3 linked regions of the Neodiprion lecontei genome follow. The protein of the gene in region 2 purifies or fractionates together with the protein of the main gene of each other region. This does not show direct contact. Links are inferred from orthologs where the notes say so. Each region holds a gene or a part of one and is shown on either strand. Other genes may lie near its edges.

Region 1 (7,489 bases), on a different chromosome or scaffold from region 2:
ATATTCTTTTTAATATTTATTTCGAAAAGTATGAAATTCTATAACAATATTTCATGAATCTTAAGACTGGATCATCCACAAAAAACTACTCCCGAGCTTAAAATTTTGCAGCCTTATACTTTGGTCGTATAAAATAAGTATGACCTGTCTATATGTTATTAATTATTGTTTTAGAAAAAAAAGGCCACACTTGTGAGAACTATTATTGAAGAAAATATAGCTTGCGTGGAATTACGTGCACAGTTCCTGATACAACAACTTTCAGATCAAGACTGTATGCTTGCTGCAAAAAAAATTTAATGGTTTCTAAGGTAATGACAATAAATTGATTTATGAAGATGTTTCTTAAACCAGCATACAATATAAACCGACCTGACTCTCATGTGTCTTTGACATACCTTTGTGATGCTATTAGAAGGCCTTCAACAATCAGTATATTATAGTTAGTTTTCAAGTAGTGGGTGAATTTTACTTGGGCAATTGAACAATCAGCCCTCATGTCTATACATTAATATAATATTTATAGAGAAGTCGCATTATCGTGCAAAATCATTTATTATTGTATACATTTAAAATTCTTCAATTTGAAAGACCCATGAAAATCCGGAGCTGTATCATTCTGACGCGAATGTTGGAAAATATCTTCGAAATAATCCTCGTAACGTTTCGTTATATGGTGATTGTAGCCATAAAATTTCACCGATATTACTTTTTTGGGTTTAGTAACAGCAGGCTTGAACATAACCCCTGTTGTTTTGTATTCGTCAAAGAGCTCCACTGGAGATCTTAAAATGGAGGACAAGAATATGTTAAAAAATTAATTCCTACTATTATTATCAGAAAATGTTTTGAAAGCACACTTTGAAACTATCATCAAAAGTGGATCATCAAAAGTGGTTCTTGTTTAAATATAGTAAATTGTCTCTGCATATAGAATCATGCCTCGTACTCACAATTTCCCAAATTCTGGCTCTAGACTGCCCTCTCCACTTGTAGGAACTCCTCTTGCAATATTTTTCGCCATTTTTTGCACCATTGGATGATAGTGCCTCTGAAAGTGAATGGTATTGAATCAACAGACGTATAATCACCAATTTGTGCTGAAAAATGCTATTTCTTTTAAGTTTACTTGTAAAGGAACCAGTTCCCAAAAAGCTGAACGTTGAGCATTGCAGTATTCAGGTTCATTCAGCACCGAATCATAGAAACCTTCTCCTATGGAGGAATCTGTGTCCAGTAAAATGTCAGTGGCTTTTCCAAGTTGCATCACTATTTTGATGATAGCTAGTATCCCAAGCGTACCATTGTGTTCTAATTGTAGTGCCAAAATACTTATTCGTTTCAGAAAGGCAATAAGTCGATTCTGTGAGATGTTCTTACGTTTTTTTATCAAAATGTTACCAAGCGTTCGTAAAATAATTATTAAATCCGCATGATTTTTACCCGCATGAATACCAAGTAAGTTTCTATAGAGGTGTGAATAAAACCTGAAAAACAAAAATCAAATAATTTTTCCGCATTTAGTCCTTTGATATTGTTATGCGTGGATCACAAGTGAACTATTTTTGCAGCTCATAATTACCTTGATGGATCAATGTTCAATGCCTCCCCTTGTCCAGATAAAATAACAAAGACAGTTTCAATGCAATATAGTTGCTCTCTCAAAGTTAAGGTATTACCTTCCAATAATCGATTCAGAACATTAACTAAATCTTGATAGAACTCTATATTAATGCTGTGTGCAAACCTACAAAAAGTAAATAAATGTTCTTTCGCATCACACCACTTGAACAAGCCCAGTTTAAATAATGCAGTAAAGTCTAATTCTTTCTTTATACCACTTTAAGAACATAAATCACGTCTTTCTGATTGGGAAGGGGGACCAATTAGAGGGGTATGTAGATGCACTTGCTGTACTTAGGTCCTGGTGCCTCTTGAGCATTCAAATGTAAAAGGCTTTGTTATTATCAACCCAAAAATTAGTCGGCAATAGCACTTTACATAGTTGGTGTATTTGTATGCATATTCCTCCCTGCTTGGTCTGTCTTCGCCTATCAAATTTGAACTGGCTCAAAGATGTCTTATCTCTACCCCTAAGATACTTTATTTTGTGAGAAAAAATGACGCAGCAATTTGTGCTTGGATGAAAACATACTTAGCTAATCCTTGTAACGTTACAGACAAAATTTTGCCCGTTGGGATTTGCTTCAGAATGCGGAAGTAAATAGTAAATACTATACTGGTTATATCGGTCAACACCCGTTGCTTGCTCTGTTTATTCTCTTCCGCTTTAGTCTCAATCATCTCTTTTTCAACTTGTTCTAGCTTCTTTTTTCTCTTCCGTTCTCGTTTACTCATAGAAATTAATTTCTGCTTATGCATCTGGAGTTTCTTCTGTTTCAATTCTTCCTCTTTGCCCTTATCCAAATTTATATCAGAAATTTTCAGAACCAACAGTACGGTCAATAATTCCACATAAACTGAGTGACCCCTAGTTTTTATATATTGATTTATTCGACGCACAATCTGTAAAAGGCACAAACAGATAAAGACTGGCAAAGTACTAGCGTTAATAAATTTTGAACAAGACTCAGAAAAATTTCCGTATCTATTTTTTATATTTCAATGATAGATTAATTTTATCATACAAACTCTCACCACAAGAGACAATTCGCCACGTTTATCTTCTTTGAATATCTGAGTAACACATTTAGCCACTATCTCCCTTACATTTGACCATTTACTATCCAAGTATGGAACCAAAAGGTTAGCAATATTGACAGAGAAGTTGAAATATGGATGTGCGATCAAAAGCTCTGACATACAAGTGATAGCAATTTCTCCCAATATTATTTCCTGCTTTTGTAACTTGTTCATGTTCAATTTCTTTCCGTTCAACATGCTAGCAAATTTTTCAAGCTTCTGTAAGTACAACTTGTAGCTTTTCAACATTACTGCTTCATAATTTTGTAAATTCAATGTCTCCCGTTTCACTAAAAAATTTTATTTTATATGTATCGGTTAGGATGATATATCATCATATAGAATAATTTAACAAAATGTGGTGTTTTGGACAAATTGAATTGTGGACTAGGTCAGTAATCAGTATCATACATTTAACTTTATCTTGGGGGATTTGTTTAATGCTGTAGGAAGGTAGAATGTCCTTGAATACTTCCAACAAGGATACCATTGCCAATTTCCTAACGGTAATATAAACTTCTGGATGCTCTTCTTCCATAAGTGACAAAAGTACTTTCAAGTTTCCAGCCTTCAGTTCAGGATTTTCTAATAGGCCACTTGACAAAATTCCGATCTTGAAACGACGTGATTGAAGTACCTCTTCTCTGCATGCCAACAATTCTACCATTGATACTGGTTTACTTACATCTATTTTTCCCTCCTCCTGAAAAAAAGTGTTATTTAATACCATGTGCATTTTTACATAAAAACATACTTCTGATATGCCACAGGTCTTGAAAGACTTTCCCCTTTTACAATGGATTTACATCGCTTATAGATGTCAATACAGTTATCCTTTGTCTAATCAGTATTCTCAGATTTGGGTAATTTCTTACAATATATTCTAGGTTTAGTTCCTGGTCGGTCAATTCCTCTTCATCTACAGATTGTAGACCATTACTTTTACGATCCTGTTCAATTCTTAATTGTTCGTCTGTATCAAAGTTCTCTATTTCACTTATTGGAATATGCCGTTCAATTAATTTATTTTGAGATTTAATGGGCAGGAGCATTCGTGTACGACTGGTTGTAATTGTGGTGTTGACTGTCGCATTTTCATACTTCTCCTCTAAATCATCAAGTTCTGTAGATTTTTTCCGTTTTCGTTTGATTTCAGGTTCTGATCTAGATTAAGACAATGCAGAAAGTGACTTGGTTTAGGGTACGAGCAAGCTGGGTGACTCCTTCAATTTGGATATATTTTGAGATGAATTAAGATTAAATTTAACAAAATGTCAAGATGGTAGTATATTGTAATTACAGACTGTTAAAGAGAAAATGAATCATCTGACATCAATATGGTTTCAATTTTCTGACTGAATAGGTGATGTTGAAATCACCCAAGATCTTTCTCCATTATAGAAATTTTGTTAGCAGGAATTTCTTTCCATTCAATCCCCAACGGAGATTGCGTTTTATTTTTAATACTCCATAATACTGACCCAAGTTTTTATCACAAGATTGTATATAAAGACATGAATTTCGATTAATTACATACTGGTTTAATGTAATTTGGTTGAGAAGATTGTAACTCTGGTTAGATACGGCTTTTTTCAAAAATTCCAAGTCATCTTTTTCAACCATTCCAAGCATATCTTCACCATGATCACTCTCATCTTCTGTTTCAACATTTTCTGACACTAGTGTTGTAGGTGGCTGTTGCAACTGTTTTTGAGTTTTACGGTTTCTACGGCTCTTCAATTTTCCCTGCTTAGAAAGTTTAGTCCTCGTCTGATTGTTCCTTTTTATCTTACTGATTTTCGACTTTGCTATTTTCTTGAAAGAATGATAGAAGATGCATATTAATAAAAGCACTAAAATGTTATGGAACTAAAGTTACTAATATTAATGTAATGAAAAATCAGGGAAAAAATCATCATTGTCCAATTTTAAAACAACTTTCAACGAGCTTTTCAATACATGAGTATATTTTTTTAAATTATGTTTTGCTAAGTTTGAAACAATCCTAAAGGTGTGAAGTAACGATTTTTCCTCAACATGCATTCTTATAATAATGTTACTAACTTCAAACTTATTAAATGCTGCATATTCTCTGACCACTGGGATCCAGATTGCAAAAAGAGCTGTTGTTAAGTATGGATGTTACGGTGCGAAAAGTTTGTATCAAACAGTAAGGGTAAAGTAGCAAATAAAAATTCAAAATATGTGTCTCAGTTTGTTATAACACTATGGAGTAGGGGTGCACGGTATTTCAGTATCTCCTTCCTCGAAATGTATCGGTACGGGAATACCGAAGTTTCTGATAACCTAAAGTTATTTAGTACAGTTCAATACAGATTTTTCTTAATCTTTTTTCCGACGATATTTGTAGATTAAAGTCTACCGACATTTCGATATTTCGGTTAACCCAAACTACCGAATACGAAACCCGTAATGAAAATCGGTACCTAATTTTCAATACCGCGCACTCGTACTATGACGAATCGGTTTTGTTTACTATTCTAAGACCTCTGGAAAATACGTTTTAATTCATCTCAAGCTAACTTAGACATAAATATAGTTATTACTGTTGATTTTAAGAACATTTACGTAAGAACAAGCTAAAATGTGAGAAATCACAATTCTCTACAAGTGTCGAAAGTGTGAATTTCCGGGAATCCATAATACGGTATATAATTTTTGATGCAATGAGCAGATGTGTAGTATGGCGCGTTGCACCATTAGGTTATGTCACCTTGTGCAATCGGGTGAAGAAGAATTGTATAGTGCAAATATATATTTGAATTCACTTGACTTACCCCCATATCAGAACAATGGTTTTCAAACAGAAAGAGTAAATGCTACTTTTATGCAGACACCACTTCCAGCGTCAATGAATTTCAAAATTGACCCAAAGCACGTGGACGACGCGGGATCGTTAACTCACGAGCAGGCTGATCTCTGCTGATGTCGCTGATGACCGCGGGACAACATTCAATGCTGGGTGTATTCCGAACACGAAATAAGAGAGAATGAGACCGAACTCTGCCGAGGCCGCATCCCAAAAGTGGGATCAATTTTCCAGCGATAAAAAAGTGAGCAGTTCGCTGCGAAGAATAACGGAGATGACGAGTCACGCATGCGCAGTACGACTTAGCTGCGTCCTTATCTCTCTCGCGTAAAGTGCGAGTGAGATAGTTTTGTTATGACAGTGAGGTTAGTTTTTACGGTAAGATGTCAGCGTGTCGTGTACCGCAGTGCAAAACCAAATATAAAGACAAAAATAACAATCACACGTTGTTTAAAGCTCCCTCGGTACGTAACGTGATCATAGAGTGATGGTAAAACAAAATTATACTTCTGTTTATGTTTATTACCAGATTGTACAATAAATTGAAATTGCCAACAACAAGCAAGAAATATCGTTTTTATGTATATATCTAATTTGTGAATCCTTATATTCTACATCCTAACCTTATCTCCTAATTCTCATCACTGTAGCTGAGAATTTCTATTATGTAAAACTTGTATATATCCTGATTCTCCTATTTACCATTTACAATTTTCGTATTGAACATGATTGATAAATTGTTTACATTTAAAGCATGAGTGTAAAAAATGGTTGTTCAATATCCTAATGATCTGGCAAAGGCATTTTATCTACGTTGTTTAGAAGAACAATAAACTGATCCATATTAACAAGGATAATACATTCTCAGAGCGGCCAAATTTTATTGTCTATGTATATTTCAACGTGCATATCTGGTAAAACAGCAATCCTTTTCAATCTTTTGTAGACCAAAAAATGTGCGATCTCCTCGTGTAAAACCCCAACTTGGTGCTGGTAAAATACTTACACATAGCTTTTTCCTCAAATACGTGTAATTAAATTCATTAAGTACTTGCTCCATATCTGTAAGAACGTCCAGAATGATTCAAATGCTCCACTATTTACGGCTTAAAGTTCCATAAACAACGTTCGTAAAATACGCACCTATGATTTCTGACTTCGCAGCGTATTCACGTTTCTTTTTTGCAAATAATAAAGCGATATTTGTGATTCTATCATTATGCCAAGAAATTATTACGCACCATAACCTCATGAACTTGCTGTCACAACAACAAAACTGTCTCACTCGCACTTTACGCGAGAGATACAAAGACGCAGCTAATCGTACTGCGCATGCGTGACTTGTCATCTCGGTTATTCTTCGCAGCGAACTGCTCACTCATCGCTGGAAAATTGATCCCACTTTTGGGATCGGAGTTCGGTCTCCTTCCCTCTCACTTCGTGCTTGAAGCTTGGCATCTTGGATTACCACGCAGTATTTAACCTCAATTCGAGTGAGTAAATCTACCACTAGGCCTATGATTTACAACGACCTGAGTTTATTTTACCCAACAATTATAGCTCATTTTTAAAACGGTATATTTAACTTGTAGGTTAGTTTACTTTTATGCTGTCAACAGTTGCCAGTCGAAGCAAATCCCGACAGAGCAAATTGGAGAAAAAAATACTTGCATTCATGATTCTCCGGCACGTGCTTATCCATAAAAATGGTATTTTTCACGTGTACTCACTGTGGTGAGGCAATAAAGAAGCCTAAAGTCGGAAAACACTTTCAATTCAAGTGCAGAAATTCCATTTCAGTCAGTTGCATGGATTGTTTCCAAGATTTTCGGTACGTTCCAGTTGGGTGAATTTATCTGATTTATAAAACAAAAAAACTAGAATACAATTAGAAATATGAATAATTTGTAATATACCTTGCATAATCTGTGTGCTAGATGATGTATGATTCCATGT
Region 2 (8,063 bases):
AAGTGCGAACTGTAAAGTTGTTTGAATATATTCATTACTCAGGCTGCCTTGACGGCTCATGCTGCAAACTTCACACTTATTGAAAAGTGTGCTATTTCTGACAAGTGTGAAGTTTGCAGCGTGAGCCGAAGGCGAGTGCTACGTTCACGCGAATACGAATGTTGCATCGTACGAATACTAGTGTGATAATCACTCGAGTCGAATATCCCCCATCCGCCCGCTATTTTTCCAATACCTGTAAAGGAAAGTTTGATTTGAGAAGCAACGAAGGTGCCACTGAAATTTGGGTTATCCTGTAATTAATATAGACCCTTCTTAATGCGGAGCAAAACGGGTCTTTGAAATTAATTGGTAAGACTCTGAATACCGAACTAATACGTGTAGATTTCTCAAGCGTCTAAATCCATGTGTTATAAAAGAATTCTTAAACAAACGAATGAAGAACTCGCTATTTTGAATTCAGTCTGTATTTTGCAAATTTATTGTATCATCTGTGTACAGTAATATTCATTAATGCCTTGGGCTGCCGGCTAATTTGTTTTCGGTCCAAAACAAAATGCGTGCTCGGTTATGTGACAATGACCGGCGATGCAGCCAAAGTGAGAGATTGGGAATCATTGTCACACAATTCGTGTAGAATCGAGCCTGCATTTTTTTTCGGACGGAAAATAAGTTAGCCGAAATCCCAAAGCATTAATGAAAATTACTGTATAATGAACAGAATAGTATTCGCCCAAAAGCAATATTAGCAACAAAGTTTTTATTTCGTTTACGTATTTAAAAAAATCGAGCACCAATTTTCTAACGCCTGATAAATTGCAACTCTATTAATTTACCTTTTATTATTACGATAGAATTACATCCATATTATTTTACCAATTCTTTCGCAGCAAAGTCCAACTCCTCAAGTAGAATCAACATCATAAAAGTATTTGAGGGATGGCTGATTCGCTTCACGTGACAGATCTAATCTTCTCATCATTACAGTGCAATTCATAAAAATCTTTATTTTAGCTATCATGAAGCATTACATACATATATCGTATCGTTATGTACTAAACACACGATACACATACGTATATGTAAACACATGAAACAACTGCATACAGTTCGAGTTTAAGTGTGAACATGTAATTAAATTCCGGTAACACTATAATAGCTAATTTGGATAATTGTAGTTATTGCCGTTTTCTCTTCACAATAAGACGTATGGATATTTCCGATCGAATTCATGCCGTATTTTTAATTTTCCCCTCTTTTCGCATCTGTTTACGTTTCTCTTTTTCTGTAGAATCGTGGATGCGTCGTTTTTTCCTAAGTAGCCAAATCTCTTTTGCTCTGTCCTCTTTTCCTTGCATCATACTCTTGTACAAATTCCTATGTTTCTTTTTTATCATTTTCTCCCTGAGACGGTATTCCTGTTTCTCAATACGATTCTTCTCCCATGGATTTTCCCTGGTCAATTGACCCTGTTGCACCACCATTCCCTTTTTCTGCGAAAGAATCAATATTCGTATTGCACTAGAATTACCTTCCTATCATTGTAGGAAATTTCCCAGAAAATTTTCTAGTACCATCATCTGAGATATACATTCAAACATCACTGCAATTTTAATGCGAAAAGAAATTCGCGGGAATAGTTTTAATACGCTCCTTTGCACATTACCTTTTTCAATCTCTCTTGCTCTGATTCGCTGTCATTCGTTTTTGTTACTGTGATTTCAGGTTCCTCCTCTGAGATATCATTCTCTGTGGCCTCTGCACTTTCACCTTCAAGAATCGTTTCCGCTTGTTCTATCTCTGGTTGATCATCTCCTTCCTCTTCTGCTTCCGATTCTTCGCTGTCATCTTTAGCTTCGATAAAAGTTTACAAGTAAGTACCATATATGACTGTGATATGCGCTGAGCCTTGAGAGAATTCTGATTTTTCATTTTATTTACCTGTTTTCACTTTAAATTCTGGGTCGAGTAAAGCGCGTTGTTCGGGCGGGATATATGTTTGATCTCGCAGCATGTCTGTAAATGGTGAAAGATGCGGAGGAAGCACACTACCCATCAAATAATTCTCGACGGGTAAAAGTTGTCTAGCATTTACAGAATCAAACACCCATTGCGGTTGAATGTAGTACCTAAAAATTTTTTGTCATTGGTATATAGAATGTTTTATTTTGTATATATTTCTACTGTAAATTTCGCCTATTAAGCTGTAATTTGCACTGCATATCGAAACTTTCAATGCCGGATTAACACCTCATACGGAGTGCGACAGTGTAAGTAGCAGTCAAGATGCACACCAGTTAGTACAAAAAAATTAGTTTTCAAATTCACAAACCTATTCACTAATTTTTTAAAGAACTTATCAATACCTTGAAATTCATATGTAAACCTTTCTACATTTCTAAACTATCTTCCCAAGCATATAATCAACAATTGAAAAATTTATGATGGTATGTATGGATATTTTTTTTTTGAAAGCTCTGACAATTGCAACGTGGATTTGTAAAACATTGATTTTCTCAGTATCATTATCAAGAGTGTTACAATTTACTAGACAAAATGCATGGCAAATAACTCAATCAAATAAGAGATGTAAATTGTATGTATACAACTTTTATTGACTTTATTTTTTCATAAGCGTGTTATCTTTCTGACGAACTTTATTTAATTTTACCTGGAGATATATTGCTTTGTCATGCTTGGCCTGTCCACAATTTGATGCGTAATACTTTCATTACTTTCATCAAAGGTGGAACCTACGAATAGCATTTTATCCCAGGATACTTCTCCTCCAAAACACCTCAATACAAATACAAGGGGTTCTCTGGGGACTTCTCTGTTCACAAAGAATTTTAAACCTTTGAATAGGGTTTTTAGTTTCTTTACTTTTTCTACTTCAATTCTTGATAATTCAAGTTGAGAAGGGTCAGCTTCCTAAAACAAGTTTTGAATCAGAGATGATTTAATAACTGCAGTCCGTGTGTAAGTACGTATTCATTTACTTCACAGATGTATAATAAAGAAACGAACTGTCGGAAATTGATCCGTATCCAGCTCTTCTTCTGGTGCTGGAGTCGCATTGTTAACACTGGACAATGGCGAGTTCAGTGCAGCAATTCTTTCAGACACATATACTTCTTCATCCACTAATTTCGTATCGGTACTTCCTTTGAAAAAATCAGTAATTAATCGTTGAATTCAAATACTTATGCCAGAATTATGGGTCACCATAACAAACGAAGTGCTCAAGAGCGCATGATGCTAAGCAAAACTACAATTTTCTATCATGTACTTCAAACAAAAGATCTCAAATTAATTCTCCATTACTTTTTAAGATCGAGAACATTATAAAAGCACCCTCAGGCAAATTGGCTGCAATGCTTATTGATAATTTTTTTAACATGGATAGTATCCTCAAGATGATGAAACCGAACAGTTGGATAAAAGCAATTGTTCATGACTTTTAAGGGACACATAAAAATACTAAGACACCGAACGACGAACCTTGTTTATATAATAATAGTTTATTCACCAGGGTTATGAATTCTACTATCCTGCATTTCTTTGAAACCTCGTTTATACGTTTCTCACTTGTATGTCATTTCACTTGTGCATTAAATTCCTTCAGTCCCGGTAGTTTTTGCTTGCAGACCACATGTAAAATTTCACTCATAAGTAATTCATTTTGATATTTTTCACACCTATGTATCATTTATTCCGGTATAGAGCACTCTTTTCCCTTCACCCGAACATTAATTACAACTAATCTCTCATTACAAACTTGCGTTTTAATATTCTATGCGCCTATTGTAGGAATTTCTAATCGATAAAAAAACATGGAATAAATTTTATCACATAGATGCTACAATCGAAATACGATAGTTTGAGGATAAACAGCAATAAAAGCAAAACCTATCGCAATCATATTAGTGAGTGTAATAAAATTGGTGTTTCGGTTATAATACTTGTTGAAATTTTCCCAATTTTCTATTGTAACTCTTGCACAACTTTCGGTGTACGGATACGTTAATATAAGTCAAACTATCACATTTCTACTAAACTTTCTACAGTAAATTTTTGTCCGTGCGTTAATACAAACATAGAAGCATCATAATTGTCATATCCCTTCGCAAACGTATAAACGAGGTTTTACTGTATTACCAAATATGCCACTTTCACTGCTTTTACCTCGTTTTATCGATTCCCAGAATCTTACTCCCATTCCATTTATATGGTTTCTTATTCTGAAAGTGCTACGACAATAAATGTTAAGCTATACTGGTGTTCATCATTTGGATTTTAAGCTTTACACGTGGACATAGCACAATTCATGTTTCATTTTGATCTACTTGTACCTTTTCTACAACAATTTCAAAGGTTTGAAGGTAACTGCAGCAATGGAAAGTTTTATAGTTTTTATACAGGGCCAAAGGTGCTACAAGTTTAACTGTTCAAAACACGCCATGGGTACAATAGAAGTATGAGAATTGTCACGCAGGAACCAGCATTTTAATAAGCTTGATCTTCGAAACATTAATGTGGCGATGCATTTCCATGATAAATCAGTATTTCACAATTTTAGGAGTATCTGAGATTCACTAAATCATATGGAAGCAAAACATACTCATGTTTTGTAGACTTAAATACCTTCAAAGCAAGTCTAAGGCTGCAAAATAATAAAATATTTTCCCATATTCGATTACTTTAACGTTACTAACTTTAATGTCTTAAATTTTGATTCACTGTTACGGTAAGTTTAATTGGAATAAACTTTCCTTAATGAGTGACCTCTCCTTGTTAGTTACAGGACAGTCATAAAAAATAATGCGTTTCTTTGTGTTATTTAAATATTAGTTTACATTATCAATTCTTACCTGGACTGTTGAATTTTGGTGGATAAAACATGTTCAAATCATGATATAGCTTGAAGTTGACGAAACCCAACATAACAACGTAAAACTCAACGAACGTTGACATCACTTTGAAGTCGACTTCATTTTTGGACTGTGGTTCAAAAGAAAAGTGGTGTGGCACTATCCATGTGATTGTTTGCCCCTTGATTTCAGCTTGGTAGTAAAAGCCTTTGATCGAAACGAAAACCTTTCGAAGTGCTTTAGCTGCTATAACAGCATGCAAAAACTCGACGGTTAATCTCCTGCATAAAAGTGAGTGCTCACGTGGCACGTGAGCTATAGAAGGAAATGTGCTGAACAAGAAACATAGCGTGAGACAATCATCAAGATCTCTCAATGCATCTATGAATGTTGGGTAACGTTCTTTTACAATGTGATCTAGCTTCAGCTGCGGATGATTATTTAAATACCGTCTCAAAGCACCGAATTCCTTCATTGCTTTAGCTCGGCCAACTTTTCGGTTGAATATCTGTAAGAAGAATTAATCAAGATTATGAAACAAATAAAAAAGTACTCAAACACTTGCCATGTAATGCAGCGACCCGGTATATAGGGTGATAATTTCACTTACCTTAAATTCTCGAAATTTCCATATTATAGGCTCGTGCATGAGGAATTGTATGTCTTTTTTGTGGTATAAGGTTTTAATACTTGTATCTCCATGTTGGGCTCGCTTCCTGTTACGAGGTTCCCGGGGATAAATTCCTTTCAATATGCATAGTTTCCGAAAGTCTTTCAATGAAAGCTGAAGTTTCTTTAGAGCTGATCTCCGTGATAAAAACTGAGCACCCTCACCGGATTGGTACTGTGAAAAGCATCAGACAAGCATGGAGAAATAACCTCAAAAATGTTAAGCGTTAGAAAAGGAGGTAAGATGTACGTTTTCGAGATTAAATTTGTGTGATTTATATATCTACCTTTTTCTTTCCTATTACGACCATTCTCTCAACGATCTGTTGTTTTCAATGGTTAATATTTCCTCATAAAAAAGATCCAATTCTTGTATTGACACACTTCACACGTGCCAATACGAGCAACTTGTTATCTCTCGCTACTCCCGTGCTTGACTCCCGTGTATCGAAACTGTTGCCGAATTCGTGCGTCACACTGCGCGCTGCTTCAATGTACTAACGATAAACTTCGAATGGCAGAGTTTTCAAATCTCTGAATCAATGTGTTTAAATAGGGGTTGAGAATACAAGTGGTATGATCAGTTTGATCCTTTTTTCAGGACGAACTGACACCACTTGTAAACGACTTGTATTCATCATCGCTTTGAATAAATTTAATCAGTTACTTAGAATTTAAAAATATTTCATTTATTGTCAAATAAAGTACAGTTGAATTAAAAAGATGGACTAAAAGCAGAAAGCAAAAACTCTGGTCAGTTTGTGGTGCAAGTATAAAAATCTTAAGTGAATCTAAAATACAAGTAACGCAATAGTTATCAACGAAATACAGGTAATGGTAATTAAGTCAAAATTACAAATAAAATTATAATGCAGAAATACAAATTATATACAATTTATACAAAGAGAAAGAAGTCGGATAGTGAATTTATCAAGATTTTACAATGTTTGTTAACTGACACGTATTCTTTACTGTAAAATTGATTTGAAGTGTTTTTCGCGATGTATCCGTGCTTGTCTAAAGAATTTATTAGTACTGCATCTTTATGATTTAAAATTTTACTTACAGCTGTACAGAATGTATTGATGTCTAGGGACATGGAAAATTGTTTAAAATTATTCTTTACTTTCAAGGCATGAGCAGAGCAACCAAGCCACCTGAGACATTTTTTTCATCCACTTTTGCTTTGAGGTTTTTTAACAAATTTCTTCTAAAACTAATCGATAGAAGCAGACTACGGATGATTTAATAAAATTTTTGGAAGGAAGTTAAACAATTGTTGCTAACGTACTTCAAAACATATATCTCTTCATCAAACACTTTACTTTCTAATTCTCCATGCAAATCTGGCAAAGGTTCCATTGCCAGGATGGTCGATTTGCACTCTGAACAGACTTGCAAAAATTTCAAAAGCCTGCGTGCTACATATCCTGCTATATAATCACACACAGTCTTTGTCACTATGGACTGTGGGACCTATCGTTGGATATTACTTTCATCGGGCAGGTGGAGCGCATCATCTAAGCAATCTACCGGTTCGTCATGGTTGTTATCGCTATGATCCTCCAATATGTGGACTAAATTGAGCAGTATACTTCCCTTGTCGTCTACACAGTTCGCACTCAATGAACGATGCGAATTGAAATTACTGACAAGGAGGGACTTGTATGTGCCAACAAATTGTCAACAAGTTGGATTCACGTTGTGGCAACCATGACTGCGACTAAAGCAAAGAATTTCTCCAAACAATCTTGGTTGATATTACGTGACAAAAAGTAATCTAATTCCTCTTTCTGATATGAAGCCTGTCAGAGTAATCGACCAATTCGATAGACAAGGAACACGCCATGAGGGTAGTAAAGTTACTCTGTGGACAAATTTCATATCTTGAAGCTTGTGTCTTACCTCCATTCAAAATCGTTTGTGGGAAGTACATACACATGGGAACTAAACACTTTCCATGCAAATGGCCCATGTGACTTCCTCCTAGGCGTTCTCTGGTTCCCCCTAAAAATCCCTAAATAACTCCTACCTGCTGTCAGGCCATTTTACCAGCCTCTAGACAGAAAATCAGTGCTGTAGGTGCTGTACTATTTGTATTACTTTTTTTTAAATTCATATACATACAGAGCTTTCCATTGTCAACTCGACCAATGATTTTACCTCACGATTTTTGATTCACTTTACGATTGTTTTCCTGATTCTTCAATCTCAATCATCCCTCAATTTTGTTCAGTTTTTACACCCGTTAATTTGTCAGGATTATTTTTATCAAATTTTATTGTCACGTCTTACAATTTGCACCACATCCTCTTGAAATATGTAATTTTTTTTTAAATAAAAAAAAAATTACCGAATCTGAACAGATCAGGTCCATCATTATGTTCATTATGAATACCCAAAGTTTTAATCGACTGAGCATGATAGAAAACACAAGTTCTCACTTATACTGAGTTCTGATAATAAGATCGTAAGAGCATGGACATAATTTCCGATATCCATGCTTGAGAGGTGAATTAATTT
Region 3 (4,794 bases), on a different chromosome or scaffold from region 2:
GAGAAAGAATGAAAGAGAGAGAACGAGAGCGCTGAAGTAATTGGAGAGTGTGCGGCGTGTGTGGGTGTTTGGTGCGTTATCACCTAATTGGAGATTACGAGCGCGCCTTTACTCCCAACAAACCATCATCTGCCTATTACACGAACACGGACTGCAGACACACTGTTACTGTAAACTGCACACTGCAGGTGCATGCTCTGTGGAATGTTCTTATTAAAGAGCATGCGCCGATCAGTCTTAGAGTTACTTACAAAATATGGTTTGGTATTTTTCAAATGAAAAAATCAAATTCCTAATTATTATTATCCCTTATTTTTGATCAATAAAAGATCTGTTTTGGGGATTTTGTTGAATTTTCATTCATTAATGTTCGATTTCCTCTTCTTCCTATCCAGTTGAGAGTATTGTTCTCTTATGCAAAAGTCTCTGTCTCGCTTTTGTAAAGACAAAAATCAATTTTTTTCTTGTTATTTACCCTTTTGCAACAGTGTCTTTGCGGAGTAGAATAATTTTATACGTAAAGTACGAGAATTAAGTTTCATATTCCAACAACTTAAGTTTTTATTTAAAATTTATATTTTTTGAATAATTTACAAATGTTGATTTTTAGACATTATCAACCAATCGCGTGTTTCGACTTGAATATCCTAACAGTGTTGTCGGCCCCGCCAGATACCATGAATTTTGGATTGGACCAGTTGCAGCAGAGAACTTTGTCATCGTGTCCAGAAAGATCAAATAACGGTGCTTTGGGACTGTAAGAAGAATGGGAAAGGTAATATCGACACCACATAAAATGAAGTTCACGTTTATTAATCATGTCTAAGAATGTGTAGAGACTTTATGCACAAACCTTCGAGTATCCCAAAGCTTCACCTGGTTATCGTATGCTCCAGACAGAAAAAGGTATTGATCAGTCGTTGACCAGAAGACAGACTGCACCCATTGCGTGTGTGAAGTGAAAGTTCCCTTGACCACTGATCCCTCTGAAAAAAAAAAAAATATAATGCCAACGTTAGCAAACATCAACGATCATGAATATCCGAGTGATTTTACTACGTGGCATAGATTTCATCCTCACCTGACGATCTTGGGTCGTATAATCTGATATGCCTGTCGGCTGAGGCGGTGAGGAGAGCGTTAGCTAACGGCGAATATGCAACATCAAAGAAGCTCTTATTCCCTGGAATTTCATGCTTGATTCCACCAAGTTCTGTATCCCAAATTTTTAGCGTGTGATCCCATGACGACGTTACTATTTCAGATTTATCTGACCAGACTACACCACTAATTGCCTCTTTGTGGCCTTTCATCGTTATTTCTGGCGTCTGAAATTGCCCGAATTATATTGTTGATAAAAAAAAACTGGCCTGGTAAGTTTTACTGTATTTTTTATTCTCAATCATATAGTGAACATAATCAAATTTGCCATACAGATACTCACTCTAACTTTACCATGATCTGTTTTCAGCTTCTTTGAGGCAGACTCACCGTCATTGTTTCGATCGTCGACAGCTGTAAGAAAGAGTTTGATTTATGTGATTATTAATCGTATTAAAAAGATGTACAAGATCAGTTGCAAATATTGTTCAGTTCAAAGCCCTAAGTTAATTCATCAAATAACTCTCGTTCAGAATGCACCTCTTCGAACTTACAGGTGGACCAAATCTTCAGCATTGTATCCCATGATCCCGTGGCGATCAGTGTGGCATTATGATTGACTGCAATGTCTTCCAGCCCGCGTTCATGTCCACGACAAATTTGAACGCATTCTATTGAGTTACTTCTGATGTTCCAATCCCATAAAATGGCAGTTTGGTCTTGCGATGCACTGCAAGGAGCAAGAGATTAATGTGTTATTGTATTATATCTCATTAATTTATTGCAAGTAGATTTGTAGCGATAACATGAACGTTGTGTACTTCGCTTATAGTACCTAACAAACGTCGCCCTCTCATTGTCTAATGTTATCCAAGCCACTGCTTTAATGGGCGATGTGTGTCCTGGAATTGTGAGGTGATGTTTTCCTTTCGTATTCCAGATGTGCACGGTATTGTCGTAACATCCCGTCAGTATCCTGTAATTGGTGGAAAAAGTAGCAAATTACTACTGCTTTGTTATGTGTGAGTAAATTTCCCTAGCCAAAAAGTCTGTAATTTTGAAAACGTTGATGTAAAAATTGAAAACACTTGCCAGTTCTCTCTTACAGCAACTGCTGACACCCAGTCATCGTGTATGAGACAGTCTTGGGGTTCCGGAGGAGGATGCCGCTCCACATACTCGACTGAAACGACTTCCTCAGTCGTTACTCCACGCTCATTGATATGCTCGGCTAACGAGGTGCGCAGGAACTCATTGCAGACAAGAAAATCAAACTCTACAGTTGCAGTGGAGTCTGCAGATTCTGTATAACATTTGTTAATGAATCAGATTTGCAGTACAATATTTCTACAACAGATACGAGCTTTTCCAAAGTTCAGGAAATCTCACCTCTTAAAAGTTCATTGAGTATAGTATTCAGTTGATCAGTGAAAACTGTTGATGGCACAGACAATGGATAGTCTGGAACAGCGTACCTGAAAATCGAATTTGTGTAGATACAAAACAGTGAAATTTATATTGGCATTGTTTTAAAAGTATCAAATTTCTATATCCAGTTTACAAGAGTCTGCAGTACAGCCGACAGCCGTTTGTTCCACGTGTTTAGCTTTCACATCAAAAACCTGACTGAGCAAAACGTGTGTTCATACTCATATTTTTATATACTCACTGTTCTTGTTTCGTGGTGAAGCGTATTTGGATTTGCGGAACGTCGTCATCGACACTTGCCATCGCGACGGTATGCTATTGAAACTGTGAAATAACTGATGAAATGATTATTAAGTTAAAGCCGCTCCGTTCCTATTGTCAACCAACAATTTCGATCTAACTTAACCTTGTAACATACAACTATCATGTACAGAAAATGCGTAGGAGGAGTGAGGATACCCTCGTCACAGCTTGTCTCTCTCGCTCTACATTTGATTGGCAGATACGCTTCCTTTCAGCCAATCAGATGCGGAGTGAGAGAGACAGGCTATAACCAGTATGCCCGGGTATATACCTCGCTCTCTTATCACTTCGACTGCAATTTTCACGATGTGACGGCATGGGCGGCTACGTCCAGTAGTACGTATATGCTCTAAGAACCTAACCTATCTCAACTTAAAGCCGAAATTTTATTTCAGCGACAAGAAATTGCAGCGATGCGTTGGCGTATCAACCAATAACGGACTCGGATTTCTGTCAAACATCGATGTCGCCGTGGTGTAATTCCGGCCTAATCCAACCTAGCATTCCGGTTAACGTAGTTCGGCACGTGGTGAATTTTAAATAAGAATGTATGTAACAATTGTAGGATTAATGAAGGAACCGAATACTACGGGAGAAATTAAGAGATTACCGTTATTCAGTGTGAGAAACTTGCTTTAATCTAACCTTATACTCACAATCAGTGTAACGACAGTGTCAAACATGCGAATGAAGCGATCGACTGGGCCGAAATCGGGTACTCCGAAGAAAAAACCGCAGGAGGAAAATGACTTGACCGTGAAAAGGATCGGCGGCGGAAGCATAATCGATCACCGTCCGTTATTTTCCCATGATGGAGAGTAAGTCAAACATAAACCTATGCCTCTGATACTTTGATGGATGATTATCTAACCTCAAATTTAATTCTTTAGGTTATTATTTGTCGTTTGGAAGCATTCAATTAGAGCCTACAGCACTAGGACCGGAGATCTGGTCAGAGAATTTGAAGGAATTGAACACAAGATCGCAGGAATATCTTCGCACCCTGACAACAGAGATGTAGTTTTAGCTTGCTCAGACGTCGGTGAACTGATATATTGGAACTGCTACAAGGGTCTGATAATAAAAAAAACAGTATGTGTTCCAGAAAAATTCTCAATCAGTTTTTGTTCTCTTAATACCGGCTCATCATGGATTAACAATTTTCTGAAACAATTCGCAGAATCTTCAAGTTGATGATCGTGATGCAAAAATTAGGACATTTCATATTGTCAGATATCGGACAAGTGATGGAAGTAACGTTACCCAAGCGCTGGTCACCTATCTTATCGAAAGGAAAATTCATGTGAAATTGTTTGGTGTAGAGAACGGCAAAATCGCTCTACGAACTAAATTAGGGTACGCTATTTTACTTGAAACTTATCACTTTTTTTCTCTGCACTACATCATGTACATTGGAAATCAACCATGCTTGGGAGAGCAAAGAAAATTTATATTCTTTCATTTCAACCACAAGGAAAACAGAGTATCATACATATCCGTTGCACTAAAATCTCTTATTGCTAATGTAATAATTTAATTTGAAATATACATTTCTTCAGCATACCTCTCTGAATATCCAGAATTTTTACATTTTCAGCTCCATTTCTGATGAATATTATGTTGATGTTGTTGGGAGAGCTGGTGAACACTTAGTTGCTGTTGCGGAAGATGTTAATTTGCACATATTGAATCCTGCAGAGGATTTTGAAGGGATTTTGTAAGTATCGTGCCTATTATTTTGCAGTTGCTGATGGTACTAAATTTTTTCACCACATTTTACTCTTCTGTCATTTACTTTCTCCATAGACATAAAACGGGCAGACGGTGTACAGCTGTTGCTGGGCACCCTGACAGAGAATGTCTAGCCACCGGGGACTCGAGTGGCCGAATTTTAGTCTGGTTAAACATTCAACAACGTATGGTAATCAAGGCCACTTATCACTGGCACACACTTCCCGTCAC

Evidence for each region. Proteins that work in one complex are often made in the same cells at the same time.
Region 1: the proteins of pescadillo homolog (region 2) and nucleolar complex protein 3 homolog purify together in Homo sapiens (affinity purification with mass spectrometry; 3 studies listed by BioGRID and IntAct, counting the BioPlex papers as one, with this or other methods). This does not show direct contact. The link is inferred for Neodiprion lecontei from reciprocal best matches to the Homo sapiens genes PES1 and NOC3L.
Region 3: the proteins of pescadillo homolog (region 2) and ribosome biogenesis protein WDR12 homolog purify together in Homo sapiens (co-immunoprecipitation; 7 studies listed by BioGRID and IntAct, counting the BioPlex papers as one, with this or other methods). This does not show direct contact. The link is inferred for Neodiprion lecontei from reciprocal best matches to the Homo sapiens genes PES1 and WDR12.

Annotation. Positions count from the first base shown.
Region 1 is NC_060265.1:31,638,498-31,645,986, reverse strand, and holds nucleolar complex protein 3 homolog, read right to left. Parts: upstream 5,640-7,489; 5' UTR 5,508-5,639; coding exon 5,502-5,507; exon of another isoform or gene 4,519-5,501; coding exon 4,241-4,518; exon of another isoform or gene 3,868-4,240; coding exon 3,579-3,867; intron 3,407-3,578; coding exon 3,115-3,406; intron 2,994-3,114; coding exon 2,659-2,993; intron 2,527-2,658; coding exon 2,156-2,526; intron 1,748-2,155; coding exon 1,583-1,747; intron 1,488-1,582; coding exon 1,130-1,487; intron 1,052-1,129; coding exon 954-1,051; intron 786-953; coding exon 557-785; 3' UTR 537-556; downstream 1-536. Other genes in the region: ralA-binding protein 1, read left to right, coding at 175-300; cell growth-regulating nucleolar protein, read left to right, coding at 7,240-7,364. UniProt on the Homo sapiens protein: May be required for adipogenesis.
Region 2 is NC_060262.1:23,171,542-23,179,604, forward strand, and holds pescadillo homolog, read right to left. Parts: upstream 5,989-8,063; 5' UTR 5,852-5,988; coding exon 5,828-5,851; intron 5,716-5,827; coding exon 5,482-5,715; intron 5,380-5,481; coding exon 4,872-5,379; intron 3,165-4,871; coding exon 3,028-3,164; intron 2,932-3,027; coding exon 2,672-2,931; intron 2,130-2,671; coding exon 1,942-2,129; intron 1,874-1,941; exon of another isoform or gene 1,855-1,873; coding exon 1,667-1,854; intron 1,494-1,666; coding exon 1,230-1,493; 3' UTR 544-1,229; downstream 1-543. UniProt on the Homo sapiens protein: Component of the PeBoW complex, which is required for maturation of 28S and 5.8S ribosomal RNAs and formation of the 60S ribosome.
Region 3 is NC_060264.1:3,892,682-3,897,475, reverse strand, and holds ribosome biogenesis protein WDR12 homolog, read right to left. Parts: upstream 2,963-4,794; 5' UTR 2,833-2,962; coding exon 2,771-2,832; intron 2,577-2,770; coding exon 2,491-2,576; intron 2,405-2,490; coding exon 2,194-2,404; intron 2,078-2,193; coding exon 1,937-2,077; intron 1,832-1,936; coding exon 1,656-1,831; intron 1,516-1,655; coding exon 1,445-1,515; intron 1,329-1,444; coding exon 1,082-1,328; intron 987-1,081; coding exon 854-986; intron 756-853; coding exon 617-755; 3' UTR 537-616; downstream 1-536. Other genes in the region: WD repeat-containing protein 75, read left to right, coding at 3,514-3,650, 3,723-3,924, 4,013-4,188, 4,430-4,549, 4,639-4,794.